4 linked regions of the Stegostoma tigrinum genome follow. Each later gene encodes a partner of the first gene's protein in a complex. Links are inferred from orthologs where the notes say so. Each region holds a gene or a part of one and is shown on either strand. Other genes may lie near its edges. The genes, in order: smc2, ncapg, ncaph2 and ncaph.

Evidence for each region.
Region 2: smc2 (region 1) and ncapg share a complex: the UniProt entries of both Homo sapiens proteins name them as parts of the condensin complex. The link is inferred for Stegostoma tigrinum from reciprocal best matches to the Homo sapiens genes SMC2 and NCAPG.
Region 3: the proteins of smc2 (region 1) and ncaph2 are in contact, whole or in part, in a cryo-EM structure (PDB 9F5W), measured with the Homo sapiens proteins. The link is inferred for Stegostoma tigrinum from reciprocal best matches to the Homo sapiens genes SMC2 and NCAPH2. Residues at the interface, in NP_001036015.1 of Homo sapiens: Leu93, Thr125, Gln128, Asp129, Cys132, Gly135, Leu136, Asn137, Met173, Tyr174, Lys177, Lys178; in NP_689512.2 of Homo sapiens: Glu46, Phe53, Ile54, Glu55, Leu58, Leu59, Gly62, Ser63, Ala64, Cys65, Val66, Lys69, Tyr73.
Region 4: smc2 (region 1) and ncaph share a complex: the UniProt entries of both Homo sapiens proteins name them as parts of the condensin complex. The link is inferred for Stegostoma tigrinum from reciprocal best matches to the Homo sapiens genes SMC2 and NCAPH.

The regions. Positions count from the first base shown.
Region 1 is NC_081356.1:31,468,221-31,475,434, reverse strand, and holds the start of smc2 (structural maintenance of chromosomes protein 2), read left to right. Parts: upstream 1-4,180; 5' UTR 4,181-4,537; coding exon 4,538-4,705; intron 4,706-6,797; coding exon 6,798-6,947; intron 6,948-7,214. UniProt on the Homo sapiens protein: Central component of the condensin complex, a complex required for conversion of interphase chromatin into mitotic-like condense chromosomes.
Region 2 is NC_081354.1:83,712,087-83,719,899, reverse strand, and holds the start of ncapg (condensin complex subunit 3), read right to left. Parts: upstream 3,244-7,813; 5' UTR 3,131-3,243; intron 2,139-3,130; 5' UTR 2,123-2,138; coding exon 2,009-2,122; intron 1-2,008. UniProt on the Homo sapiens protein: Regulatory subunit of the condensin complex, a complex required for conversion of interphase chromatin into mitotic-like condense chromosomes.
Region 3 is NC_081378.1:21,665,588-21,673,791, forward strand, and holds the start of ncaph2 (condensin-2 complex subunit H2), read right to left. Parts: upstream 3,224-8,204; 5' UTR 3,059-3,223; intron 2,614-3,058; exon of another isoform or gene 2,594-2,613; intron 2,481-2,593; exon of another isoform or gene 2,463-2,480; intron 1-2,462. Other genes in the region: lmf2a (lipase maturation factor 2a), read left to right, coding at 3,713-3,806. UniProt on the Homo sapiens protein: Regulatory subunit of the condensin-2 complex, a complex that seems to provide chromosomes with an additional level of organization and rigidity and in establishing mitotic chromosome architecture.
Region 4 is NC_081393.1:10,353,425-10,360,724, reverse strand, and holds the start of ncaph (condensin complex subunit 2), read left to right. Parts: upstream 1-4,219; 5' UTR 4,220-4,339; intron 4,340-5,924; 5' UTR 5,925-5,930; coding exon 5,931-6,148; intron 6,149-6,420; coding exon 6,421-6,508; intron 6,509-7,300. UniProt on the Homo sapiens protein: Regulatory subunit of the condensin complex, a complex required for conversion of interphase chromatin into mitotic-like condense chromosomes.

The sequences.
Region 1 (7,214 bases):
AACAGGTGCCAGTAGCTGACATTTGCGTGACCTTCTGTGTTCCTCGAGCTTCACACTAAGTTTACCGAGTTCTGGTCATTTTGGTGTTTTTAACAGGACGTTGCTGTGAACATGTTGGCTAATCTTTCCCACATTACAAGAGCACTACACTTCAAAATACTTGATTAGTTGTAAATGTTTTGAGTCAACCCAAGATTTTTTAAAAATAAAGGTGCTGCGTAATTGCAGTTTAACTAACCAGTGTTTTATGTAATTTAGCTCCCCTTCCCACTCCCTTGGCAGCATGTCCATTCTGGGCCTCCTCCAGTATCACAATGAGGCCACAGGAGCATTGGAGGAAGAACACCTTATATTCCACCTTGGGAATTTACAATCCAATGGCTTCAACATAGAAGTCATGAGCTTCAAAAGTCTCCCCACCCCTGGCTTCATCCCATGTCCAGCCCTCCCTCTCATTCCTGCGTCCTTGACTTGACACAACCTGTTCTTCTTACTTCTCACCGATCCGCTCCACCCTTCCAATTGACCAAACTCTACATCCCCTACCTGCATTCACCTAACACCAGCCCACCTGCCTTTATCTATTTCTGAGCTCCCTTTCCCCAGTCCTGATGAAGGGTCCAGATCCAAAACTTTCATGTTCACCTGATGCTGCGTGACCTGCTGTGTTCTTCCAGCTCCACACTGTATTGACTATGACTTCCAACACCGTATTTCAATTTTCAGTCATTTATGTTTTGGACCACTTGAAATAAAGGCCAGCATCTCAGCTGGTCCCAATTATTTCAACAGAACAGCTCGGAACTTAAACTGGGATTATTTAACAACCTATTTGTTTGCCTTACTATCATAACTTTTTAATAGCTGGCTCATTTTATTCTATAAAATCCAGACCAATTTTCATTTAGAATGGATACTGACAATTTCCACTTTTGTGAAATATTTGGCTTTCAATCCCTAACAAAACCACTTGTGCCTGAAGTTAAGAATCCTTGTACCAGCTACAACAGATGGGAATCCCAAAATGTGACAATAAAGATAAAAAGAAAATTCCCACTAGATATTGTGCCATATATTTTGCACGCAAAGATTCCCTCATGGTACTATGAACATCCCAGTTAAGGTCTGGTAGGATATATTGGCTTAATCATTTTGAGAATGTTATTTCTAGAACATAACTTCAATTTATCTGTAGTCTTTTCCCTCCCGAAAGAATGGCATTATTTGCTATATCAATCTTTGTTGAAGTACATTATGCTACAGCGTAAAATATCACAGGGGTAGGCGATGGCCTAGTGGTATTATCACTAGACTGTTAATCCAGGAACCCAGCTAATGTTCTAGGGACCCGGGTTCAAATCTCACCATGGCATATGGTGGAATTTGAATATAATAAACATAAACTGGAATTAAGCATCTACTGATCACCATGAAAACATTGTCAATTGTCGGAAAAACCTATCAGGGAAGGAAATCTAACGTCCTTACCTGGTCTGGCTCCAGACCCACAGCAATATGGTTGACTCTCAACTGCCCTCTGAAATGGTCTAGCAAGCCATTCAGTTGTACCAATCATGACAAAGTCTCAAAGAAATGAAACTGGACAGATCACCTGGCATTGACCTAGGCATTGGAACAGACAAAGGCAGAAACAGCCCTAACGATCCTGCAAAGTCCTCCTTGCTAACATCTGGGGGCTAGTGCCAAAATTGGGAGAGCTGTCTCACAGACTAGTTAAGCAACAGCATGACATAGTTATACTCACAGAAGCATACATTACAGACAATGTCCCAGACACCACCATCAACATCCCTGGATACATCCTGTCTCACTGGCAGGACAGACCCAGCAGAGGTGGCAGCACAGAGGTATGCAGTCGAGAGGGAGTTGCTTTTGGAGTCCTCAACATTGACTCTGGACCCCATGAAGTCTTATAGCTTCAGGTCAAACATGGGCAAGGCCTCCTGCTGATTACCACATACTGTCCTCCCTCAGCTGATGAATCGGTACCGCCTCCATGTTGAACAGCAGTTGGAGGAAGCACTGACGATGGCAAAGGCACAAAATGTACTGTGATTGGGGGATTTCAATGTCCACCACCAAGAGCAGCAGTACTACTGATTGAGCTAGTCAGGTCCTAATGGACATAGCTATTAGATTGGGTCTGTGGCAGGCAGTGAGGAAATCAATGAGAGAAAAAAACATACATGACCTCATCCTTACCAACCTGCCAGCTGCAGCTGATCTATCCATGACAGTATCAGTAAGAGTGGCCATCACACAGTCCTTGTGCAGATGAAGTCCCACCTTCACATTGAGAATAACCTCCATCACATTGTGTAGCACTATCACCATGATAAATAGGACAGACTTCACACAGATCCAGCAACTCAAGATTGGGCATCCACGTGGCGCTGCTGGCCAACAACAGCGGCAGAATTGTACACCAGCACAATCTGTCACCTCATGGCCTAACATATCCCCACTCAACCATTACAATCAAAAAGATCAACCCTGATTCAAAGAAGAGTGCAAGAAGGTATGCCAAGAGCAGCACCAGGCATAGTTGAAGATGAGGTGTCAACCTGTGAAGCCATCAAACAGGATAACTTGCATGTCAAACAGCATAAGCAGCAAGTGATAGACAGAGCTAAGCGATCCCACAACCAAAGGATCAGACCTAAGCTCTGCAGTCCTATCACATCCAAGAGGAGGAGGGTCCATAAATATCAAGCAATAGTTTTACCCCTTTTATATATTCCTTAAAGCCAATCTTTTTTCTCGGTGCATTTGGTTACTTGACCCGATATGGCTGTATGGAATTCTTCCACAAACAGCAAATTATTCACTTTAAATTTGGTGATGATATGCTTTTTTAGCCAATAATATTATTATATGTGGAAGAGATGGGTTAAAGGAATTGAGGATAGATCAGCCATTATCCCATTAAATGTCAGAAGAGGCTCACATTATTATTTCAATGTTGAAGTGATTAATAAGAGTTTAAGGCGACACCAGATAGACATTAAGGCAAGAAGATTATAAGGATATATTGACAAGGTGAAGATAAAGATGAGAGGGAGGAGGCTCATAGAGTCATTACAGCAAAACAGGCATTCAGCCCAATGAGTCTGTGCAGCTTTGCAAAGTTTATATCCCCCAATGACCATGACAACTTCCAGCACCCTTGGGAGCAGGGATTCAAGACTACTCAATAATTGTGTTAAAAGCAAACATTCTTTCTCACATCCCCGTGGATATTTTTTGCCTAAAGCCTTAAAATGGTATGCCCTTATATCATTCGCAGATGTGAGATTTGCTTTATCTTCAACCTGTCAAATCTCAGCTTTTGTGCTCCTAAGATGCTGCTTGGCCTGCTGTGTTCATCCAGCCCCACACTTTGTTATCTTGGATTCTCCAACATCTGCAGTTCCTATTATCTCTGATCTCAAATCTCCCCTTGATGCCCTTTGCTTGAAGTAGAACAACAGATGTTCTTCCGATCTGACATACTCGCTAAATTCCCTTATTCCTGGAATCATTCTTGCAAACCTGCTCTGCACCCTCACATACTTCCCGAAATGTCGTTACTGGAGCTGAATGCTCTATTATTACTTATATACAAGCAGCAGATCACAGACATTGGGCTGAATGGCCTGGTTCAATGTTATACCTTAAAGGAACCAAGGTACCTGGATATTCACCTGAAGTGGTGTAACCTGCAAGGTTCTGGATCAGGTACTGGAAAGTGGCATGATCATGGGTAGCTAGTTTTTTTTTCAGCAGAGACACAAGGGGCTGAATGGTCTCCTTCTGTGCCGTAATGTTTTGATGGTTCAGTGGAACTTAGGACTCAGCAGGCCATTCAAACTTGTTCTGCCGTTCAATAAGATCATGACTGAACGCCACTTCTTTCATCTGAGTCCAATGGGTTGCGAAATGGTTGTTAAGTCTAACCAATCTGCAGAGTTTACCACACTCGGGACAGGTTTTACTTGATGGGTCGGGCAGACAGAAATGTTTGAGGGGGAGGTTTGAACACTCGCTGGAACGCATCGACTTCACCTCGGCGTGCTGCTAAGGAGGCCACTTTACGGGTCTGGGGCCTTACCGAGTGAGGGTCTCACGTTTGGAGGGGGATGACATTTCAAAGGCCTCTGTCACCCGCGGGTGGGACCACGTGATTTAGGGCGTGAAGACGTGGCCCCTTTAAGAGAAACCGCAGGGTTCTGCCCCGCATGGCAGGAACGTCATCGAAAGGCGCCTGCCGTCTCTAAATCGTCAATTTTCCACAAATCGTTAATTATTCTCCAAACGCCAGGAATCCGCCGCAATAATTACATTAATCTTGAGCTGCTGCGTTTTCTGTCTTAAAATTGCATGGCGGTACTGAGGTGAAAGCGCCACTGAACCAACTGAGGCCATTGAACTAACGGTCAGGGATTGGCGCCAAAATTTAAACTGCTGGGAGGCAACCGGAGCTCTCCGAGTTGCAGTGAAATTCCGGATTTAGTTTAATTTAACACGGTGAAGGAAAATGTATATAAAATCCATCATCATCGACGGCTTCAAGTCTTACGCGCAACGGACGGAGATTAACGGCTTCGATCCGCTCTTTAATGCTATTACCGGCCTAAACGGCAGCGGCAAGTCCAACATCTTAGACTCCATCTGCTTCCTCCTCGGCATCAGTAACTTGTCCCAGGTTCGACAGGGAAGTGGGGGGAAGATGGGGATCGCAAGTTAGGAGGAGAAGGGGGCGATCGGAGAAGGTGTAGGATGTGAAGGGTTCAGTGCGGCCCAAGGGACTTTAGGTGGTGAGAGAAAAGATTTTTAAAAAATGGGGGTTCAGAGGAGGAAGGGAAGGGGGTGATGGTGTTGGAAGATTGAGTTGAGGAAGTGAAATAGTGGTGATGGTGTAAAGTTGTGCGAAGGAAGGGGACAAAGGAGGTTGCTTTGGGGAGGGGGATGGAAGTGGGTCATGGAGATATACAACACAGAAACATCCTTCGGTCTAACTCGTCCGCATTAATTTAGTCCCATTTGTCAGCATTTGGCCCGTCTCCCTCCGAAAACACTTTCTATTCATTCAGCTGCCTTTTAAATGGAAACTGCGGATGCCGTAAATGAGAAACAAAAATAGAAGTTGCTGGAAGAGATCAGCATCTGTGAAGAGAAATCAGAAATGGGCAGTTCTGAGGAAGGGTCACCGGTCTCGAAACGTTAGCTCTGATTTCCCTTCACAGATGCTGCCAGACCTGCTGAGCTTTTACAGCAGCTTCTGTTTTTGTGCCTTCTAAATGTTGTAATTGTACCAGCCTCTTCCACCTCCACTGGAAGCTCATTGCATACATTCATCACCCTCTGTGTGCAAAAAGTTATCCCTGAGGTCTATTTTAAATCTTGCCCCTCTCACTTTAAATCTATGCCCTTTAGTTTTGGACTCAACTACCTAGGGAAAACACCTTGACTATACACCCTATTCATGTTCCTTTTTTTAAAAACCTCTATAAGATCACCCATCATCCTCCAATGTTTCAGGGAAAATAGTCTCACCCTATTCTGCCTTTCCCAATAACTGCAACCATGGTACCATCCTTGTAAATCTTTTCTGAACCCTTTCAAGTTTCACAACTTCTTTCCTACATCAGGGATACCAGTATTGCAAAAGTGGCCTAACCAATGTCTTGTACAGCCGCAACTCTCTTACCCAATGCTCTGACCAATAAAAAACAGGATATCAAACACCTTCTTCACTATTCTATCCACCTGGGACTCCACTTTCAAGGAACTATGAACCTGCACTCCAAGGCATCTTTGTTCAGTAACGCTGCCCAGGACTGTACCATTTAAGTGTATAAATACTACCCCCAATTTGCTTTTCCAAAATGCAGTATTTCATGTTTACCTAAATTAAACTCTGTCTGCCACTCCTTGGCCCAGTAGCTCATCTAATCAAGATCCTGTTGTACTCTGAGGTAACCATCTTTGTTGTCCATACATTTAAAATTTTGATGTAATCTGCAAACTTACTAACCGCACCTTGTACATTCACATCTATATCAGAGGAGAGTAGTATATTGTTGCTGAGAGCGGGGGAAGGAAGGACTGGAGTGATCTTTAAGAAATATTAAGAAACCATTTAAGAAATATTCACTTTGGTAGAAAAATTAAATGTGAAGTAACAACATTTTCCCACATGATGTTCCATCTGTGGTGACCTTGTCCACTCAGCTTGTCTAAATCTCTGCATCCCCTTCCCATTTATATTCCCATCTAGTTTGTGTCAACAGCAAATTTCAGTGTCCATCGAATTATTGATGTAGACTATGAAATCTGGGACCCATGCACTGATCGTGGTAGTACTAGTCACCTCCCGCAACCAGAAAATGATCAGTTTGATTTTGTTCCGTGTTCTGTATGTCAATCATTCCTCAATCTTTGCCGGTATATTCCTTCAAACTGATGTGATCTCATTTGGATTCCTAACCTCCTTAATGGCACCTTATTAACAGCCTTCTGAAGATCCAAATACACTCTGTCTATTCTGCGAATTACATCCTCGATAAAATCTTAACTAGTTTGTCAAAAAGATTTCCTTTTCATAAATCCATGTTAACTCAGAATCCTAATAGTATTTTCTAAGCCCAATTATCTTTGAGATTCCAATGTTCTTTTTACTATTGATATTAGGCTACTATTTAATTGGAAATCAATATAATGCTTCAGACATTTTGGGTTTTGGAGTATTTTAATGCTAATTTTCATTGCAACCTTGTTTTGTTGTCTGCTGTTAGGTGCGAGCCAGCAACCTGCAGGATTTGGTCTACAAAAATGGGCAAGCAGGGATTACAAAAGCCACTGTCTCAATTACCTTTGATAACTCTGACAAAAAACAAAGTCCTCTGGGCTTTGAGACTCATGATGAAATTACTGTCTCGAGACAGGTACTCTGCAACATTTCTATCGTATTTAATATTCCACAATGTTAACAATGAAAACTTCTTCAGAAGAGTCTCTTCCTGACTCTTCTGTCTTATGCCTTTTGAACTGGATACTGGTCCATTTTGTATTCTCACCCCTGCAAACTGGGATTGATTCTCAGCGGGTGAAGCAAATATGGCACAAGTTAAGGTCATATAGTGTCATATAGGATAATAGTTTGTTCTTCCTCGGTTGTGGAATCAGAGCTGATGCTCTCTGCACACTCTTGT
Region 2 (7,813 bases), on another chromosome or scaffold:
GTTAGCAATTGGAGGCAAAAATCAGAGAATGGATTAATAATAAATACAGATAAGGGATTGGAAGCATCTGTTTCTAGCTAGGTGTCAGAATAAAAAAATGATGAATAGTTTCCTAGATAATGTTTCTGATTTATATTAAAATTCCAAAGCAAATTGTTTAAATTCACTTTGAAGTGATCAATCTAGACTTGAAATGCAACAAATACAATTTCTGGTTAACAAAGTGCGGAGGTGGATAAACACAGCAGGCCAAGCAGCATCTTAGGAGCACAAAAGCTGATGTTTCAGGCCGAGAATCATCATCAGAAAAGGGAGATGGGGAGAAGGTTCTGAAATAAATAGGGAGAAAGGGGGAGGCGGATCGAAGATGGATAGAGAAGATAGGTGGAGAGCAGACAGACAAGTTAAAGGGTCGAGGATGGAGCCTGTAGAGGTGTGTGTAGGTGGGGAGGGGATAGGTCAGTCCAGGGAGGACGTACAGGTCAAGCAGTCAAGGGGGCGGGATGACGTTAGTAGGTAGAAAATGGAGGTGCAGCTTGAGGTGGGAGGAAGGGATACGAGAGAGGAAGAACAGGTTAGGGAGGCAGGGATGAGCTGGGCTGGTTTTGGGATGCAATGGAGGGAGGGGAGATTTTGAAGCTTGTAAAATCCACTTGATACCATTGGGCCTCAGGGTTCCCAAGCGGAATATGAGTTGCTGTTCCTGCACCCTTTGGGTGGCATCGTTGTGGCACTGCAGGAGGCCCAGGATGGACATGTCATCTAAGGAATGGGAGGGGGCGTTGAAATGGTTCACGATTGGTAGGTGCAGTTGTTTATTGCCAACCGAGCGTAGATGTTCTGCAAAGCGGTCCCCAAGCCTCTACTTGGTTTCCCCGATGCAGAGGGAGCCACAACAGGTACAGCAGATGCAGTATACCACATTGGCAGATGTGCAGGTGAACTCTGCTTGATGTGGGAAGTCTTCTTGGGGCCTGGGATGGGGGTAAGGGAGGAGGTGTCGGGACAAATGTAGCAGTTCCTGTGGTTTCAGGGGAAAGTGCCAGGTGTGGAGGAGGTCGAGGGGAGTGTGGAGCGGACAAGGAAGTCACGGAGAGAATGGTCCCTCCAGAAAGCAGACAAGGGTGGGGAGGGAAAAATGTCTTTGGTGGTGGGGTCGGGTTGTAGATGGCGGAAGTGTCGGAGGATGATGCATTCACCTGTGCATCTGCCAATGTGGTATACTGCATCCGCTGTACCGGTTGTGGCCTCCTCTACGTCGCGGAAACCAAGCGGAGGCTTGGGGACTGTTTTGCAGAGCATCTACACTCGGTTCACAATAAACAGCCCAGTCGCGAACGATTTCAATGCCCTCTCCCATTCCTTAGACAACTTGTCCACCCTGGGCCTCCTGCAGTGCCACAACGATGCCTCCCAAAGGGTGCAGGAACAGCAACTCATATTCTGCTTGGGAACCTTGCAGCCCAATAGTATCAATGTGGATTTCACAAGCTTCAAAATCTCCCCTCCCTCCACTGCATCCCAAAACCAGTCCAGCTTGTTCCCACCTCCCTAACCTGTTCTTCCTCTCACCTACCTCTCCTGCCACCTCAAGCCACACCTCCATTTCCTACCTACTAACCTCATCCCACTCCCTAGACCTGTCTGTCCTCCCCAGACTGACATACCCACTCCCCACTGACACTCACCTCTACAGGCTCCACCCCACCCCTTTAACTTGTCTGTCTGCTCTCCACCTATTTTCTCCTCTATCCATCTTCGATCCGCACCCCCCCTCCCTATTTATTTCAGAACACTCTCCCCATCTCCCTTTTCTGATGAAGGCTAGGCCCGAAACGTCAGCTTTTGTGCTCCTAAGATGCTGCTTGGCCTGCTGTGTTCATCCAGATCCACACTTTGTTATCGCGGATTCTCCAGCATCTGCAGTTCCCATTATCTCTGATACAATTTCTGGTAAGGAAATTTGATATACTGCAGTCTTGTCTAAATACTATGCAATTCACTGTACCTGATTGTATATTTGTTTAAGACCTGCCACCAACTTTGCAAGATTTTGATGTCCTTTCTGGGCCTTTTCAAAGGCTTGTTGTATTTGGAGCATTTGATTTTTTTGTGTACCCATTTATATGGAAAAAAATCTGAAACAGACAATATAAATTTAATGAATCATAAATTACTGTCCAACAGGATCTTTCAAAGCAGTTATAATTCCAACGGTTAAAAAGTTTTGTTCAGTTGTGAATATGAAGAATCATAGAATCCCTACAGCACGGAAGCTGGTTATTCTGTCCATCGAGTCCACACCGACTCTCCGAAGGGGATCCCATTTGGACCTGTCCCATCCTACCCCATTGTTGTAACTCTGCATTTCCCTTGCTTATTCTACCTCACCTACATATCCCCCAGACACTATGGGCAATTTAGCATGGCTATTTCGCTTAACCTGGACATCATTGGACTGTGGGAGGAAACCCACACAGACACAGGGAGAATCTGCAAACTCCACACAAAACCCAGGTCCCTGGAGCTGTGACACAGCAGTGCTAACCACTGAGCCACCATGCCGCTCCACGGGACAAATGTCCCCACCAGTCCTGTGTGAGATAAGCATTGAGGATTTGTGCAATTTAGAAAAAGTATTAACTAGGAGCAACTTTGAATCAAACAGCAGATCTTCCAACTACTAGTGAAGTGACAACGTATGGCATCAGATTGGAATGGACGGCCCAACAGTTGGAGATGTCCTAGTCAGTGTTGCTACTGTGAAGATAGGCTTGCTCCAAGTTTTCAAAGCATCACTGTGATGAGTCACGAAGGCAGGGATGTGAGTCATAAATTCCTATAAGATCTTCAGTGATCCTCCTCACTGAAGCCAGACAGAAAACACAAGACCTAGGACTAAAAATATCCTGCCTAATCTTTGACACTGATGATCACTCATCCCACCACCCAACCCTGTCGGAACTACATCTGCCCAATCGCCCCCAACCCCACCTCAGACTCACCTTCGGTTCCCCATTCCCGCCTGCCCACACCTCCCCGCCACCGACAGCCCTCACCCCCCTCCCCATCCCATCAACTACTCCCCAGCCTCAGCCTTCCCCGATAATCCCCGCCCCCGCGGTCTCACCTCTCTAGCTGTCTATGATTCTCTCGAGTCCGCTCTGCCACAAAGCAGCCCCCTTTTTGTTTACCCGCTCTCAGCGCGAACCGCCAACAACAACCGCCAGAAATTTCAAACTGCCTCTCGCGAGATGGTGATCTAAGCGCAGGCACCGCAGGGGGCGGGCCTGGCGGGTCTCCCGATGCCGGGGCGTGGCTATGAGGGGGGTGTGGCTATGAACGGGCGGGCTTAGTGGGGATATTTATCCTTCCAGCGTCTGCCGTAGTTCAATGTGATTGTGGCTCGATCCATGGTCTAATTTGGGATGTCTGTTGCTGTTTATTCGGAGACACTTCCAAATGGAGACAACTCCTAGCCAGTTAACATATTTAGATCACTATGAATGTACTGTTTCCCTCAATCGGAAAAGATTAAAGTCATTTTACTCAATGAAGTTTTGAGCAATGCTTAACAAAATTGAGGACTTAGACAAGAAAACAAAAGCACAACTCACTATTTATTCATCAGTAGTTATTAATGAGCACCAAGAAAGTGTAGTTTTTATTTTCACAAGTAGCTACACAATTTTTTTAATAGAGATATCAGCCATGTTTATGGATATAATGGAATTTTTGGTCGATTAGAAAAAAACGAATCTGCTACTATGGATTGCATACGGATCGATGTTCCCATCACCATCTTGTTTTTATATGTTAGCCATGGAGAAGCTGGTACCACTCTACCCATAAGGTTCTGGCTTCAGCACAAAAATGAAGGCTGACAGTCTAGTGCAGCACTGAAGGAGCACTTCAGTGTTGGAGGCACCATCTTCCAGATGAAATCTTAACTCAAGGTCCCATCTTCCCGCATGTACAGTAAAGGGTCCCATGGCATTATTTCAAAGAAAAGCAGAAGAACTATCTGTGGAGTTCTGGCCCTCATTTAAGCACCAACCAACATCACAAAGAGAAGTTCAGCACAAACTGGAAGAGCAAAGTTTCATTTTCTTCTCATTCCCTTTGGCCCAACAAGTTCACACTGACCCTCAGAGACCACCCAGACCCATCCCTGTACAACCCACCTGATCTACACATCCCTGAACACGATGGGAAATTTAGCATGGCCAATCCACCTAGCCTGCACATCTTTAGACTGTGGGAGAAAACCAGAGCACCTGGAGGAAACCATGCACCATGGGGAAAATGTGCAAACTCCACACACAGTTGCCCAAGCATGGAATTGAACCTGGGTCCCTGGTACTGTGAGGCAGCTGTGCTAACCACCAAGCCACCATGCCGCCCCCCTTCCGTGCTTGATATAAAAATGTTCAATAATTTTAGGGCCTGAACACCTACTTCCGTGTTCTTCACTGAACTCCCCAAAATAGCAGGCTTTATTAACACATGGGCTGCTGCCACAACCAACCCATTGTCAGCTATTAATAGTCCCATTAGCAGCCAAGGATTCTCCCAGGCTGGCCATTTGCCCATTCCTTTTTCTGCCCAATTGCTATTCTCTCTCTCTCTGGACTCCATCTCCATCTATCATTTCTTCCTATCCCCATTCCACCTTCCACTTTTATGCCAACCTTTTCCTAACTTCAATCAGTTCTGAAGCAGGGTTACTGGATCCAAAACATTAACTCTGCTTTTTCTCCACAGATGTCAGATCTTCTGAGTTCCTCCAGCATTTTCTGTTTTTGTCACAAAAAGAAGACTAGCTGGTTATTATCACATTACTGTTTGTGAATTCATTATGTGTAACCTGGCTGCTATATTTACTACATTATAGCAGCAACTATAATTCAAAATAATTCAGATTTTGACATGTCAATGGACATGAAGTGCTAAAATAATTGAAAGTCTTTTTTTCCCTTTTGTCCATGCAGCCAATGTTACCATATCCCCTACAAACTCTAATGCACTTCTCACTGATTATTTCCCAGCTAATTTTGGATCATTTGCAAATTAGAATGTTATAAAATCAGCCCATCATCTTAAGTTATTAATATAGACTGTGAACAGCTAAGTTTCAAATACAGATCCTTGCATTTCACAACTGGTTATAGCCTGTCAGCTCAAAAATATCTTGTTTATTCATATCTTGTTTGCAACAGCAGTAGACTCGCCAAGTTTAAGGGCATTTATATGGTCATTGGATAAACATTCCACACCCTCACTACTCCCTGAGTAAAGAACCCAACTCTGACATCTATCCTATGTCTATCACCGCTCAACTTAAAGCTATGTCCCCTTGTGCTAGCCATCCGAGGAAAAAGGCTCTCACTATCCACCCTATCTAATCCTCTGATCATCTTGTATGTCTCTATTAGGTCACCTCTTAACCTTCTTCTCTCTAACGAAAAATGCCTCAAGTCCCTCAGCATTTCCTCATAAGACCTTCCCTCCATACCAGGCAACATCCTGGTAAATCTCCTCTGCACCCTTTCCAATGCTTCCACATCCTTCCTATAAAGCGGCGACCAGAACAGTACGCAATACTCCAAGTGTGGCCACATCAGAATTTTGTACAGCTGCAACATGACCTCTTGACTCCGAAACTCAATCCCGCTACCAAAAAAACCTAACACACCGTATGCCTTCTTAACAACCCTACCCTATCAACCTGGGTGGACCCTTTCAGGGATCTATGCACAGGGACACAGAGATCTCTCTGCTCATCCACACTACCAAGCGTCTTATCATTAGCCCAGTACTCTGTATTCCTGTTACTCCTTCCAAAGTGAATTACCTCACACCTTTCCGCATTAAACTCCATTTGCCACCTCTCAGCCCAGTTCTGCAGCTTAGCTATGTCGCTCTGTAACCTGCAACATCCTTCCGCACTATCCACAACTCCACCGACTTTAATTTCATCCACAAATTTACTAACCCATCCTTCTACGCCCTCTGACAAATAGCAGTGGCCCCAAAACAGATCCTAGCGGTACACCACTAGTAACTGAACTCCAGGAGGAACATTTCCTATCAACCACCACCGTTTGCCTTCTTACAGCTTGCCAATTTCTGATCCAAACTGCTAAATCACCCTCAATCCCATGCCTCCATATTTTCTGCAATAGCCTACCATGGGGAACATTATCAAATGCTTTACTGAAATCCATATACACCACATCAACTGCTTTACCCTCATCCACCTGTTTGGTCGCCTTCTCAAAGAACCCAATAAGGTTTAGACCATAAGACATAGGAGTGGAAGTAAGGCCATTCGGACCATCAAGTCCACTCCACCATTTAAATCATGGCTGATGGGCATTTCAACTCCACTTCCCTGCACTCTCCCCGTAGACCTTGATTCCTTCTGAGATCAAGAATTTGTCAATCTCTGCCTTGAAGGCATCCAACGTACCGGACTCCACCGCACTCCATGACAATGAATTCCACAAGCCCACCACTCTGTGGCTGAAGAAATGTCTCCTCATTTCCATTTCAAATTTACCCCCACTAATTTTAAGGCTGTGCCCACGGGTCCTAGTCTCCCCGCCTAACGGAAACAACTTCCTAGCGTCCACCCCTTCTAAACCATACATTATCTTGTAAGTTTCTATTAGATCTCCCCTCAACCTTCTAAACTCTAATGAGTACAATCCCAGGATCCTTAGCTGTTCATCATACGTTAAACCTACCATTTCAGGGATCATCCATGTGAATCTCCGCTGAACACGCTCCAGGACTAGTATGTCCTTCCTGAGGTGTGGGGCCCAAAATTGGACACTGTATTCTAAATGGAGCCTAGCTAGAGCTTTATAAAGCCTCAGTAGCACATCACTGCTTTTATATCAGAGGTAATAGGAACTGCTGATGCTGGAGAATCCAAGACAACAAAGTGTGAAGCTGGATGAACACAGCAGGCCAAGCAGCATCTCAGGAGCACAACAGCTGATGTTTCGGGCCTAGATCCTTCATCAGAGAGGGGGATGGAATCTGGGTTCTGGAATAAATAGGGAGCGAGGGGGAGGCGGACCGAAGATGGAGAGAAAAGAAGATAGGTGGAGAGGAGAGTATAGGTGGGGAGGTAGGGAGGGGATAGGTCAGTCCAGGGAAGACGGACAGATCAAGGAGGTGGGATGAGGTTAGTAGGTAGGAAATGGAGATGTGGCTTGGGGTGGGAGGAAGGGATGGGTGAGAGGAAGAACAGGTTAGGCAGGCAGAGACAGGCTGGGCTGGTTTTGGGATGCGGTGGGGGAAGGGGAGATTTGGTTTTATATTCCAACCCTCTTGAGCAAACAACATTACATTCGCTTTCTTAATTACGGACTCTACCTGCAAGTTAACCTTTAGAGAATCCTGGACCAACACTCCCAGATCCCTTTGTACTTCCGCTTTGCAAATTTTCTCACCATTTAGAAAATAGTCCATGCCTGTATTCCTTTTTCCAAAGTGCAAAACCTCACATTTACTCAAATTGAATTTCATCAGCCATTTCCTGGACCACTCTCCTAAACTATCTAAATCTTTCTGCAGCTTCCCCACCTCCTCAGTATGACCTGCCTGTCCATCTATCTTTGTATCATCGGCAAACTTCACCAGAATGCCGCCAGAGCCTTCTTCCAGATCATTAATATATAAGGTGAACAGCTGTGGCCCCAACACTTAACCCTGCAGGACACGACTCGTCACTGGTTGCCATTCTGAAAAAGAGCCTTTTATCCCAATTTCTGATCCAAACTGCTAAATCACCCTCAATCCC
Region 3 (8,204 bases), on another chromosome or scaffold:
AAAACAGAAATTTCCTTTTTGTTTGCTATTCTCACAAAGTGAAAAAATACAATTTTCATCGTATGACAAAATCAACTAACAGGGCTGACAATGGTCATATCAAACATTAAAATGTAATGAAGAGGATTCCTTCCGACAGGAATTTAGATAGGTACCTGACAGGAAGGTGCTTATAAAAGCACAAACTATAAGATACGCAGGATTAGAACTCAAATAGGTCCATCTAGCGCAGTCAATTGTGTTGGTGTTTATCCTCTACATGAACAGCACTTTCATCTCCAATCATGGTTTCAGACGGAAACTCTGAAATCTAGGGATGCTTCATAAACTATTGCTATTTCCTTCCTTGGTGAATCGTGAAGACAGACTCCAGATAGTTGGTGGTAGTCGAGCAGTATCCAGGTATGGGTTCAAAACTCTGTCACATATGTTTAGAGTCAGAACACTTAGTCCCAACTTCCGTTATTATTGGTTCCTGGAGGCTTGGTATAAACAGTAAACTGAATGTGACAGCCACTGGCTCAGACATCATGGCTAACTGTGTCTCAGTAAGTGTCAGGATGGAAGTTATTTGCCCCTCACATTTAGGGTCTTTAGGTCACAGGCTCGGAGACAAGATCACAAACCACAAGCAAAATAACAAGTCATAATCTTCTTATTTTCTAGACTTCAGCCTCCTTGAATTCAAAAGAAAGTCTACCTCCACAATTAAAAAGCTAAATACAAATTCCTTGTCCTTTTTTGTCATGTTCATGTGGATGAACTGATATCATCCATTAGCAGACTTTTGAACAGACCTTTTATGTATTAAACTTGTTCTTTCTCTGCAACTTTTCTAAGCCTGTAACACTATATTCGTATTCTGTTCTAGCATTTGAATGTACTTTATGTAGGATATGATTTGCCTGTCTCACACACAAAACAATATATTTCACTGTATGTCATATGTGACAATAATAAATCAAATCAAATCAAATCCCACAACATCAGCAACAGACTGTAAACAATCTGTTTGCAAAACCTTTAAAAGAATTTTTAAACATCTCTTTAATTGGGCAAGATGTTCATTTAAAAGGAATACATAATCAAAGCATATAGGGAACAAAGCAAAAAGCCACTAATCATCGAACCAAGAAATCATTACTACAGAAAGAGCAACAAAAACATGGGTTGGAGGAAGAGGAGGCATGATTGGGAAAGAAGGGTTAAAAATAATGTTGTTATTTCAAAGCTTTAAAACACATCACACACTGTTTCATCTAGTCAACACTACCTCAGGCAGAGATCCTAACAGAAAAAATGAGAAATAATACATGGGGAAAACGCAGCTCGGTTCCAACCCTATTCCTGGAGTACAATAGTCAGTAATTTGCTACCAATGTCTGAGGCCATGAAATTACGGTTTATACAGCAAACAAAAAGTCTATTGGGAATTACTTTAATCACTTAAATAAGTCCTCATTATTGAGGCAATAGTGTCTCATCCAAGTACATTACTCAGATAATGATAATACAATAACAATTAAGGTTACACAACAGAATTAAATAAACTGATTATTGTGACATCAGTTTTTCTGACGTCCTGAATTCTGACCTTGAAGAGCTGTTCCACAGACATTCATATTAAGAGCAGGAGTAGGTGATTCAGCACCCTGTACCTGCTCCTATCTACCCCTACACCATTTGATTAATGGAGTCATACGGCTCTGAAACAGACCCTTCGGTCCTACTAGTCTGTGCTACCTAGACACCCTAATCTGGCCTGGACCCGTTTGTCAGCATTTAACCCATAACCCTCCAAACCATGCATTCACCCAATCAAATCCCTTTTAAATGTTGCAATTGTACACACCTCCACCACTTTCTCTAACAGCTTGTTGCATACACACTTTGCGTGAAGTGGTCACCCCTCAGATCCTTTTTAAAAATCAATGCTCTTTCAGCTTAAAACCTATGTCGTCTGGATTTGGACTCCCCCACCCTTGGAAAAAGACTTTGGCTATTCACCTAACTGGACCTCTAATGATTTGACAAACCTCTAAGAGGTTACCCCTCAGCCTTCAGTACTCCACCCTATTCAGCCTCTCCCTATAACTCAAACCTTACAGCCCAAGCGACATCCTTTTAAAAGAAGAGATAATGGGAACTGCAGATGCTGGAGAATCCAAGATAACAGAGTGTGAAGCTGGATGAACACAGCTGGCCAAGCAACATCTCAGGAGCACAGCCAAAACGTCAGCTTTTGTGCTCCTGAGATGCTGCTTGGCCTGCTGTGTTCATCCAGCTTCACACTTTGCTATCTCTGACATCCTTTTAAAACATCACTTTCTTTTCAGTCAAGAATATATTTAACACACCCTTAAAAATGTTCAATGACCATGCCTCCACTGCTCTTACAAATTAATGGCCTGCTCAGGAAAATAATTCTCATCAATCTCCATTTTAAATGGGAAACCTCTCACTTTAAAATTGTTTCCTAGTCCGAATCTCTCTCGTCCTGCCACCATTCATCCTGCCCATTGCCTTCAGTACCTTACATATTTTAACAATATACGCTCTAATTCTTCTGAACTCCAAGGTACACGAGCCCTACCTGCCCATATTTTCCTCATTTCAGAAATCAATCGATTCAACCTTCTCTGCGCTTCCAATACGATTACATTATTTCTTCAGGTGACCAAACTGTCTACGACACCTGGTTTCACCAAGGGCCGAACAACTATAATGACATTTCCCAACGTTTGCGCACCAAAGCCCTTTGCAATAAATAACAATGGTCCATTCCAATATATTTCACACGTTTTATTTTTCTGTTACATCATATTATTAAAGACAAGTTGATTTCTGTTGCCGCCAAGAAGTAAACCAGTAACTGCAGTAAACAGAAGTGGTTCAATCAGACACTGTAGGGAAGAAATTAGTAAATGATTGAAGTGGGCCGTTCTTCAAAACCAGAACACAAGAAACTGTAACGAACAAGAATACAATCACAGAAATCTGAAAGAAACTATATTTAACAAAAGGAGATTCGAACTGACACTGACAAGCCGAGACTCACCCCCCACCGAAGAACCGTATCTAGCTACGTTCCACATTTCTCAAGCACGATTATTATAAATCCAGTTCTCAAAATATTCCCCTATTTTCTCTGAATATTCCCTTCTTTTCTCTGATTGTTTTATTTTACCCGTTTTTAGGCCAGCGCCATTTTTTGTTTTTCCCGCGCAGGTACAAACCACAGAATGCGCATGCGCGCGACACGGACTCAATCATTAGTCTACTAGTAAGAGGCAAGAAAACAGAGTTTGAAAGAATTTCCATCACAATAAAACCAGATCGCTAAATTTTTAACGCGGGTTTAAATTTTAATTTGAAATTATTACTTTGTTTTGTTTTTTTTTCAGATGTTTAGAGATGATCTCCCCTTCTGCCATGATGGTACAGGCTGCAAATGCAGAAAGACGGTAACGATTAAGAGCAATCCATTCCGGGAACAGGGAATAGTAACTTTAGAAACTTCTTAAAGTAAAAAAAAACACCGTGGATAATCTGGTTATATATTTCAAAATGTGGTTATTATTTCAAAGCGCGACTCAGTCTGAGTTATATTGTGAGCTATTATAATGGAATCGTTATGGATCGAAGCTGTTGACCACCTCCCCCCCCCCCTTTGCGGTGATGAGAGTGGTTATGTCCAGGCCTGCAGCTCGGAATGGGGGAGATTGTGTTGTCGCGGGCAGCTTTCCTCTGGGGCACGAATGCTATTTACTTGTGTGCATTCACCTCGCTTTATGTACAGATCCCAGGTAATAGTGATGACACTGATATTCTGGGTTTTAAAAGCTCTGCCTCGGTGAAGAGTGTAGTCAGTTGGCGGGAGTTGGGTAAAGGAGCCTCATGGAGAAGGGAGAGGTGTGGTTAATGGAAGGAAACCGACTGAAGTGGAACACATCGTTTATTTCCAAAACAGCACCGTGTGAGTTAGCGTTGGCTGGCAGTTTGGAAAGAGTTGTTGCTGTTAATGTTGACAGAGTGCATTTTTGTGTTTATGAAGTGGTGCAGTTTAGACTTTGATCTGGGGACTCTGGTGTAGCAGAGCCACTCTATAGTTAACGGCAACACACTGCAGATGCTGTAAAGCTAAAACAAACACAGAATGCTGGAGAAACTCAGCAGATCTGGCAGCGTGTGGGGGGAGAGAGAGGGAGTTTGAAGTAACGTTTCGAGTTTGGTGCGAGTTTGCTTCAGATTGCATGGTTATTTTGGTGCGAGACTTGAATTGTGTGCTATGTATGGAGGGAATAATGTTTAGGAAATGACCATTGCAGTCAGTTCATTGAAACCATTCCATACTGTGAACCCTCCCCTATTGAGGTTCAAGAAGGCAGCTCAGCATCATTCCTAGTTACCCTGAAGATGATGGGCAATAAATGCTAGTCCGAACAGAAAAGCCACCACCCCATGACTTTTATTAAAGAAGAAACCTGCTAGGCGTTTTATTTCCATGTTTCTGAACATCGTGAGTGCTCTCTCTCTCTCTCTCCATCACATTTCTTTCCAGGGAAGCTTAAGCTTCCCAAGTAAAGACAAAGTGCTGAAGAAAACCAGGTGTGGCAGTACCTTGCAGAGAGTAATACAAAAACGTTGAGTCCAATGAGAGTCATGTTGGACAAGCAACATATTCTCTCTCATGGGATAACGAGGTGTACGGCTAGATGAACACAGCAGGCCAAGCATCTTCTATCTCTATCACTTCTGTCTGTAATTTTTTAACGCGTGTGCGTGTGTGGATTTGAAGTTTTCATTTGAATGCACAGTTTTTCCTGAATCATCTACCAGTGAGAACAACAGGCCAGCAGTCAGAATGTTGTGCTTCACCTGCAAGGGTGAAATTCTGAATCGTAGGATCAGTTGAACTCCATTCTGATAAGATGGCAGCTGTGATTGGAAGAGAGCTGTTTGCCAGTATGGGACTGTGATTGGGCTGTTTAGCTGAGGCTGTGTGCCGTTCCCATTAAGATGATGTCAGAAGGACTTTCAAAACATAACTATTGCAGATCCTAAAAGTAACATTTTTCTTTTTTCACATTGTCCACTCCCTTTCCTTGAATTTTTTGTCACTGGCCAATTTCAGGTGTGATAAAGGCTTTTAACATGGATATACAGCCAGGAAATTATATTGAAATCAGCAAGTCAGATGGTGAAACTCCTCAATATTTGTGGAAAGAGAAACGTTTGGAGTACAGTATTTTTTTTACAGCACAGTGTGGGCCGAAGGGCCTGTAATATTGTGCTGAACTTTTACCCTAATCCTAAGCTCTATCTAACTTGCACCCCTACCTTACACTATCATCCATATGCCCATCTAATAGCCACTTAAATGCCCCTAATGAGACCGACTCCACTACCCTGTCTGGCAATGCATTCTACTCCACTCACTTTGAAACTATGCCCCCTTGTAACAGCTACCTGCACCCTAGGAAAAAGTCTCTGGTTGTCCACTTTATCTATGCCTCTGATCATTTTGTATACCTCTATCAAGTCACCTCTCATCCGTCGTCGTTCTAAAGAGGAAAGCCCTGGCTCTCTCGGCCTTTTCTCCTAAGACCTTCCCTCCATTCCAGGCAACAACCTGGTAAATCTTCTCAGCACTTTTTCCAACGCTTCTGCATCTTTCCTGTACTGAGGCAACCAGAACTGGACGTAATATGCCAGATGTGGCCGAACCAAGCTTTTGTATAGCTGGACCATAACTTTGCAGCTCTTGAACTCGATCCCTCTCTTAATGAAAGCTAACACACCATATGCCTTCTTAACAACTGTATCCACCTGGGTCGCAGCTTTCAGGGAACTGCCAGCGTGAACCCCAAGATTCCTCTGCTCCTCCACACTACCAAGAATCTTTCCATTAACCCTTTTATTCTGCTTTCAAGTTTGTCCTTCCAAAAGAATCACCTCACACTTTTAAGGGTTAAACTCCATCTGCCACTTCTCAGCCTATCTCTGCATCCTATCAATGTCCCTTTGTAATCTTTGATTTGAAAATATTTACTCTGTTCCTGCAATGATGCTGCTGGATCTGCTCAGTTTCTCCAGCACTTTGTTTTTATTTCAGATTTCCTGCATCTTTAATATTTTGCTTTTACTTGAGATTGCATTGAACTTGCATAGTTTGGCCTCAGTTGGATTACTGTGACAGTTTCTGGTGTCACAGTTTAGAAAGAATGAGGTTGGTTAGCTCAGTTGGCTGGACAGCTGGCTTACAGTGCAGAGTGACCCCAGTAGCGTGGGTTCATTTGCACACAAGCAAGGTTAACATGAAGGCCCCAACTTGTCAACCTCTCTCATTGCCTGAGACATGTTGATCTTCAGGTTAAATTCGTTACCAGTCTTGTCTCTATCATGAGAGAGCAGTCCTGTGGTCCTCCAGGACAATGGCAGTTTAACTTTTCAGGAAGGATGTGAAGGCATTGTAGAGGGCTGAGACTTACAAGGTTAGTTCTAGGGAAATTAATTTTAGTCGTAAAGATACATTGAAGAAGTTGGGGCTCCTTCCTTTGGCCAAGAGAAGGATGAGAGGAGGTCTGATAAAGGCACTCAAAATTTAGATGTGTCTGAATAGAATTGATAGGAAGAAACTGTTTCTCCTGAAATGACCAAGAAATAAAAGGTATAGATTGAAGTAATTGTTCAGCCAAGAAAATTACGAGGAAAAGCTTTTGCACATAGTACAGTGTTAGGGCCTGGAATGGACTGGAGAGTGGTGGAGGAAGTTTGAAACAAGATATTCAAAAAGTGAGTTTTATTATTTTGCAAAGGAATGATGTGCAGGAGGTTTACACAGAACACTGGGAAATGTCACTAGGTAATATGATTGTTCAGAAACCATGCACATACACGAAATGACATTCTTCAGTGATCTTATCCTGAGACCAATGTTTCTACAGTTATTAACTTCACTGAATTTTTTTTGAGGAAGTAGCACAGCTGATTGATTTTGGATGCTTTTGACAAGCTTCTAATGCAAAGTAGCCACAAAAGTAAAAGTTGTGAGATGTGCTTTGGCAAAGACTGGAAACAGCTACTCAAGGATGAACCAGTGTCAGAACAATGAGAGGCATACATGAAGGAGACAGAATATTTGGCATAAATGTACTCCTGTAGAGATAAGGTTTAGGAGTTCCAAATACAGGCTTCCCTCAATGTGAAACAGCATGCAACAGCTAAGAACCAGTAACGCAGTAACTGAGGGATATGTAGAAAGGGCAGGAGCAAACCTAGACAGGACATTTGAAAAGCAAAATGAGAGAATCATCAAAGCTAGTTTGTCAATACATATAGTTTCACTGAAACACTTTTTTCCCAGAAATACATAAAGGCTATACAGATAGCCAAAAGTGTAGGGCCGTATAGAGACTAGAAAGGTATAATGTGTGTAGAGGCCAAAATCAAGGGTATGGTTCTTAATTAATAACTTGCATTCGCCTCCACAAAATAAAGGAAGTGATTTCATAGTTACAGAATATAAAATATTGAACAGAATAAACATAGAGAGGAAACTTTAAGAGCAGTGGAATCTTTGAAAGTCAGTAAATAACTGGGTCTGAATTATGTACATTATAGGCTGCTGGGAGAAGCAATTGAGAAAGTTAAGGTGGATCTGACTGCAATAATTCCAGTCTTTTTGGTTACAAATATAGGGCTGTCAAGGTTCTACCTTGTTTAAACAGGGAGAAAAGGATTGATCAAGTACTTACAGACAGCCCATCCTAAACCCAATGCAATTTATTAGGGAAAGTTTTGAGGCACGATATAAATTGTCATTTAACGGCACATTTATTTAAGACAGCAGAAATGTGTTTAGGAAAGGATAAGTCTATTTAACTTTGCTGAATTTTTTTTGAGAAAGTGGCACAACTGATTAATTTTGGGAAGGCTTTTGACAAGTTTTAATGCAAAGTAGCCTCGAAAGTAAAAACCATGAGATTCAAAATTGCCTTTGGGCAGGAAACAAAAGACAATGATCCATGTTTTTTTGTGACTGGAAAGGTTTTTCCAGCTATGTTCCATAGGTCTCAGTGTTAAATTGCTCGTTTTTTGTGTTATAAATCACTGATTTAGAGTAACTCTAGAGGGCATGCTTAAAAAGTTTGCAATGGTTGTTAATAGTGGAAGCCGAAAGCTGTGGACTGATCGATGTGTAG
Region 4 (7,300 bases), on another chromosome or scaffold:
TGGTGAGCACTGCTTCCTCACAGCGACAGAGGCCTGGGTTCAATTTCACCCTTGGGCGGCTGTCTCTGTGGAATGTGCACATTCTCCCTGCATCTGTGTGGGTTTCCTCCAGGTGCTCCAGTTTTCTCCCATAGTCCAAAGATGTACAGGCTAAGTGTATTGGCCTTACTAAATCGCCCATAGTGTTCAGGGATGTGTAGATTAGGTGGATTCTAGGGGGATAGGTCTGAGCACGATGCTCAGAGGGTGTGGACTTGTTGGGCTGAAGGGCCTGTTTCCACACTGTAGGGGTTCTAAGTAAGTACAACAGGTCCACACACATTACGAGTAGCAATAGAACGTCATTGGGTTTTAGAAGCCAGAAATATAGAAGATAGGAGCAGGGGGAGGCCAGTTGACCCCTCGAGCTTGCTCTGTCATATATATGATCATGACTGATCCCTCCTTCTCTCCACATCCCTTAATTTCTTTGGACAAGAGCAACATGAAATCCTTGAAAATATACAATGTTTTGGCCTCAACCACTCAACGTCATTGTGAATTCCACAGGCTCACCAGTCTCCAAGTAAAGAAATTTTCCTCATTTCACTCCTAAAATGGTTTACTCTCATCTTTAAACTATGACTCCTGATTCTGGACTCCCTCACCAATGGCAACATCCTTCCTGCATCTAATCTGTCAAATTCTGTTTAAATTTTCTATGAGATTCCCCCCACCCCACCATTCTTCCAAACCCCAGTTAATAGAATCCAAACCAACACAATCTCTTCTCCTATGTCAGTCCTGCCACTGCAAGAATCAGTTTGGCCAATATTCACTGCATTCCCTTGATAGTAAGAACATTGAGTGATTTCCAAGTGCTCTGCAATGAATTCACTGTCAATGGACTTCTGCACCTTCTCCATGACAATGTCAGAATCGCTGGTCCAGAAATTTGTGTTACGTTCCTCTGTCTTATCAAAAGGTGGGGTTACATTGGCTACTCTACAACCTCTAAGAACTATTCCACAGTTAAAAAAATCTTGGAAGATGACTGCCAATGCATCTGATATTTTGAAGGCTACTTTCATAAATACTCTGGTACAGAGATTCTCAGACCTTAGGATTTACCAGCCTTCAATTCCATCAATTTCTCCAAAACTATTTCTCCACTAATAGGGATTCACTTTAGTTCCTCCTTCTCACTAAATCCAAATTATTTGTGTCCTCCTTTATGACAACATAAATGAAGTGTGAATTTAATTTATCAGCTATTTCTTGTTCCCCATTTTAATAACGTCTGTTTCTGACTGTAAGTGACCTACATCAGTTTTCACTAATCTTTTTCTCTTTACAGAAACGTTGTCAGTCAGTTCTTCCGTTTTCCACAAGCTGACTCTCACTCTACTTCCCCCTCTTAATCAATGCCTTGGTCCTTCTTTGTTAACTTCTAAACTATTCCCAATCCTCCAGGAGATTTATTTTTCTTGCCAATTTGTATGTTTCTTTTTTTTTCCCCCAACTCATACTATCTCTAACTTCCCTTGTAAACCATGGTGTTGCCAGTGTTCTTTTGCACTCTTGTGCCAGACAGAAACAAGTTTTTGTTGTTTTCCCATTTGCACTTTGAATGTTTGCCACTGTCTATCCTCTGTCACTCCTTGCAGTAACATTTCCCAATCAATCAAAGTTAACTCCTACCACTGTAGTTTCCCTCATTAAAAATTCAGGACCTGAGTCTTAGCACCAAATACCTCACTCTCCGTCGTGATAAGAAAACCCGGTTGCTCATTACGGGTTGCTCATCCTGAAGAGGTCTTTCACAACTGCTTGACCAAGTATGCATTTTTCATGACATTATACCCAGTCTAAGACGGCCTGTTTTCTTGTTTCCTAGTCAATGAAGGCAGAATTCACACAAAATCTGGTTATAGTCCAACAGGTTAATTTGAAATCACAAACTTATTCAGCACTGCTCCTTGTTTCAGGTGAAGTCGAACGTGACGAAGGAGCAGCGCCCTGTAAGCCTGTGATCTCAAATAAACCTGTTGGTCTATAACTTAGTGTTGTGTGACTTCTGACTTTATCCACTCTAGTCCAACACTGGCACCCCAAGTCATGGTGAGTTAATGGAAAGAGGCCCTTTGGCCCATTGTGTCATGTTGATCACCTATCTACTCTAGGCCCATTTTACAGCACTTCCCCCCTCAGCTTGTCTGCCAAGGCATTTCAAGTGTTCATCAAAAATCTTCTTCAATGTTGCAACAGTTTCCACTCCTACCATCCTTTCAGGCAATGAGTTCTGGATATCCACCTCCCACTGTGAGAAAAAAAATTCTTCCTTGAATCCCCTCTATAGCTTCTGCTCCTTGCCTTGAATCTTTGCCTCCTGGTTACTGACCTCTCTACTAAAAACAAAGGTTACTTCCTATGTCCCTCCAAATTTTGTAGATTTCAATCAAGTATGTGACTCAACCCTCTCAAACGTCAAGGAAGCAACTTAAGCCTATCTGGGATAACATGGTGTGAGGCTGGATGAACACAGCAGGCCAAGCAGCATCAGAGGAGCAGGAAAGCTTGACATTTCAGGTCGGGATCTTTCAGAAATTTTTGAAGAAGGGTCCCGACCTGAAATGTCAAGCTTTCCTGCTCCTCTGATGCTACTTGGCCTGCTGTGTTCATCCAGCCTCACACCATGTTATGTCGGATTCTCCAGCATCGGCAGTTCCTACTATCTGTAAAGCCTATCTAGTCTCTCTTCATTGTTGAAACACTGGAACCCAGCAAACATCCTGGTGAATGTACTCTTGAGAACAATCACATGCATCCTATATACTGTGCGACAGGACTGCATACAGTCCTCAAGCTGCAGCCTCTGTAATGTTATATACAGCTCCAGAACAAGCTCCTTGCTCTTGATGTAATTATGCCATATGACTTCTTCACAATCTTGTTCACCTATCATGTTGCATTCAAAGATCTTTGGATAAGGGAAACAAGGTGCCTCTGAATGTCCTTCGGTCCTACAGTATGGTGTGAACCTCGGAGGCATAGCAGTCTTCCCCAAATGCATCAGCTCACTGTTTTCTAAATCAATTCCCATTTGTCACTGTTCTGCTCATTGGACTCACCCCAGTCACAAGAACATGCCTTGACCATCATCCTCAGCTTCCTGCCATGAAGCCAACCTTTGAATCCAATTTGTCAAACTGCACTGGATCCCATGGGTTCTAGTCTTCTTGATGAATCTCCATGTGTCAACTTGTCACAAGTTATTTTGGTTTTTAACACCAGTCAAAGAACCTGTGACCAAACCATTGTGCTGTACCAGAGATAATGGGAACTGCAGATGCTGGAGAATCCAAGATAATAAAATGTGAGGCTGGATGAACACAGCAGGCCAAGCAGCATCTCAGGAGCACAAAAGCTGACGTTTCAGGCCTAGACTCTGATGAAGGGTCTAGGCCCAAAACGTCAGCTTTTGTGCTCCTGAGATGCTGCTTGGCCTGCTGTGTTCATCCAGCCTCACATTTTATTACATTGTGCTGTACCAGTTTTGTCAGTGTGGTCAATACAATCAATGAGGCATGAGAGAAGCATTCATACACTGAAGTAAGCGCAAAGAAAAGTTGCAAATTGATCAGTCACCTCCAGAGTCTAATTTATAAAAGGACAAATAAAAACTGAGGAGCATTCAAAGCACAAGTCTGTTGTGCCTGTCAATAAAACCACGGTTAATCCACATCTATCACTTTCTCGCTTTTGCTGCAGGCCGGAAAGTCTTCTCACATTGTATTTGATAAAAGGCCTGGAATTCTCAGATGCGGCATTGGAGATTTTTTTCCCCCGCAGCCAAAGAAACCTCTGGAATTACTGAAGAAACAACTGCACTTGGAAATGTGAGGTCTGACGTGACGTTTGAAGAGGGGCCGAACGGCTTTCTTCGTTCACAGTCATCTTTCAGGAATGATCATGAGACGAACACTGTGAAGATCGGAGAAATTCAGGCAAAGGCACTCTTCGGTGTGTGTCCACGGATTTCTGTCAGTTTTGCTGATAATCCGTTTTTCCGAAAAGGCTGACGGTTCACTCCACTCGTTGCAAGAGGGCATACACATAAGGCACTGCGCGTGCGCAGAGCGACAACCTCCCCTTTCCCGGCGTGTTGCGCGTGCGCGGAGCGTCGCATCCCCGGGAACACCCAGCGAGCCGCGCGTGCGCACTATCGAGCCGCGGGAAAGTTTGAATTCCGATTGAAGTAACGGCAGAACGGAGCGAGATCCCGGCCGTCATCTTCCCTCTCCAACCGCGGGGTCGGATACAGCGACGTTGAAGAAATTCGGACATCTCGATCACTCAGGTCAGTGCGAGCCAGGACGATTTGAGGAGGCCTGGAGATTGTGTTTTTTTTTCATTGTTCGCTTATTGCATTAGAGCGGGCGGAAAAAGTTAGGCCGCAATCGCAACCCAAATCTCTCGGAAACATACACGTACGCCATCCTTTAACATCTGAACAGAGTGGGTGTGAATGTTTTCAACCGACACCCGGCGGACAGGGTGAGTGGTCGGTCAATCCAAGCTGAGTTGGACCGGGATTGTGGAAATTCAATCGCGCTGGCCCGTGTCCCCAAGTTCTGGCTGACACGCCTTCCTGCTTTCGTTGAGAAGTTCTTGGTTCAATACTGCGGCAATCCCTACACAAATCAACAGACCCACGAAAGAAATGATAAATAGCTCTGCCTGATTGCAGCAAATTACCAAATTCTCGTAAATAAAGCCATGAACTACGAATGTTGGGAAAGTTGAACCAAAAACACAAATTGCTGCAGAAACTTAACAGATCTGGCAGCATCCGTAGAGAGAAATCAGAGTTGGGTGTCCTGTAATCCTCCTTCAACACGGTTGGAGATTCTGAAGAAGGGTCACTGGACTGTAAACATTCTTTCGACAGATGCTGTCCGACCTGCTGAGTTTTTCCAGCAATTCCTGTCATTGTAGTCAGGTCTCAGTTCACTTAAGGTTCCTATTAGCAACTGCGTTGCTTGGCGTCAGGGGTTCCGGTTGCAGAGACGTCTGCGACTGTCGAAAGATAATAGATGAATGAAAATCGTGACGACGATAAGTAGATCAAAAATGCTTCACCGTAATGGCAGTAATTAAGGCGGCACTGTGGCTCAGTGGTTCTCTGTTGTCTGACAGGGCCTCGGGTTCAATTCCACCCTCGGGCGTCTGTCTGTGTGGAGTTTGCACATTATCCCCGGGTACTCCGCTTTCTTCCTACAGCCCAAAGACGTGTAGGCTAGGTGGTTTTCATCCCTGCAGTGTTCAAGGATACGTCGATTAGGTGGGTAATAGGGGGAATGAGTCTGGGTGGGATGATCAGCGGTCTCTGTGGACTTTTTGGGCCGAAGGGCCGGTGCCCACACCGTGGGGATTCGATGGTCACATAGTAGCTGAGCGTGAAACTTGAGTGAAGAGATTAAAGTGGTTTATTTGGCTGGATGAGGCACGCTGAAGGTGACATGAATGGCTGTAAAGCAAACCGAAGATCTGCAGATGCTGTAAAACAGGAACAAAAACAAAGTTACTGGAAAAGCTCAGCAAGTCTGGCAGCGTCTGTGAAGGAAAAATCAGAGTTAACGTTTTGTGTCCGGTGACCCTTACTCAGAACTCCTATGTGAAGGAGTCAGGTTGGTATGTTAAAAGCCATTTAAATATACATTAGAAGGAGAAATAATGGTAAATGTGCTTTCATGGCTCAACCATCTACGTAAGCACACTGGAATTTTGGAGGAGAAGGCCAGATCGTGGTTTCCCAAGACAGATCATGAAGTCTTGAACAGGTCAGACAGATGTGGGGAAAAGTGGAAACTATTGATTCCATGACTACAGCTTTTTATTGCTCTTTTGCTTGAATGGTCTTTTGTTGTATTTGTTTGTCACAGGGCAAAATGGATTCTTTGATCTCAGTTTCTCAAGTGGGGTCTTCTGACCACAAGTTTATTTCTCCAGCTACGAAGCGACAGGCTGTTCAGACTCTAAAGTCCTCTGTAAAAATGGATGTTGCAGCAAATGATGATGAACGTGAAAGGAGAGAGAGAAGGCGCTCAAAAGTGACAGACTTGCAACTAAGTGGCACAGAGAGCCCTTTGGTATCCCCAGTGCAAAGGTAGGTTTCATTGCACTGTTTCATTCTCATGTCACTTAGCATGTATTTGTGTATCATTGCTCCAGAGTGAACTCTGCTTCTGCTTTTCTTCTGTGCTGCTTCTGAACCCTGAGTATTGTCCAAAGGCCTTCCTAATTAACATTACAGGTTGCTACTTTTGTTGGTGTGATGTGTCAGAATTCTTGACTCTGGGTTTGTTTGAATGCTGAGCTGTGGACAAGTTGCTTTTGACCTTCAAAATAATTGATTCTGATTGTCATTGATTGTTGCAGGGGGACCCCACAATCCTTTGAACCCAAACTGTCAAATAATCAGATATCTGAACACTATTCTACCTGCATCAAACTATGTTCTGAAAATGTAAGTGGATGTTGACAGTTGTTCTGAATTCATAACAGACTCAGTTTTTTCTTTACAATGTCAAATTTGTTGAAAATTGGAATGGACACGTGCTTCTTGTACCGTTGCGTCAAATATAGACCTGCTGGAATGTGTCATTGGGTACTGAAGGAAGAAGCTACAGAGATAGTGGATGTGTGGGGAGTAATCTTCTAAGAATCCTTTGATTCTGGAAAAGTCTCAAAGAATTAGAAAACTGCCAACGTAATGCCATTATTTAAGAAGAAATGGAGGCAAAAAAAAACTTGAGGCCAGTTAAATTTATAGGTTATTGAGAAAATGTTAGAGGCTATTATAGAGGCAGTAACACCAGAGCAGTTAGAAATGCATCCATCAGGCAGATTTAGATATGATCAGGCAGGATGGTTAAATGGAATGTTGGTGTTCTTTACTGCAAAAGGAATAGAGTATAAAGGTAGCAAGATTGTGCTTATATATGCAAGGCATGAGTCAGACCACAGCTGGAACACAGTTTTGTGTCCCTTAGCTCAAGAAAGATATACTGGCATTGAAGGCAGTCCAAAGAAGATTCAGTTAGTTATTACCACATATACAACGACTGTCAAGGGTGGATAGGGAGAGCCTTTTTCCTAGTATTGTGATGGCGAGCACAAGGGGGCATAGCTTTAAATTGAGGGGTGAAAGATATAGGACAGATGTCAGAGGTGGTTTCTTTACTCAGAGTAGTAAGGGAATGGAACGCTTTGCCTGCAACGGTAGTAGATTCGCCAACTTTAGGTACATTTAAGTCGT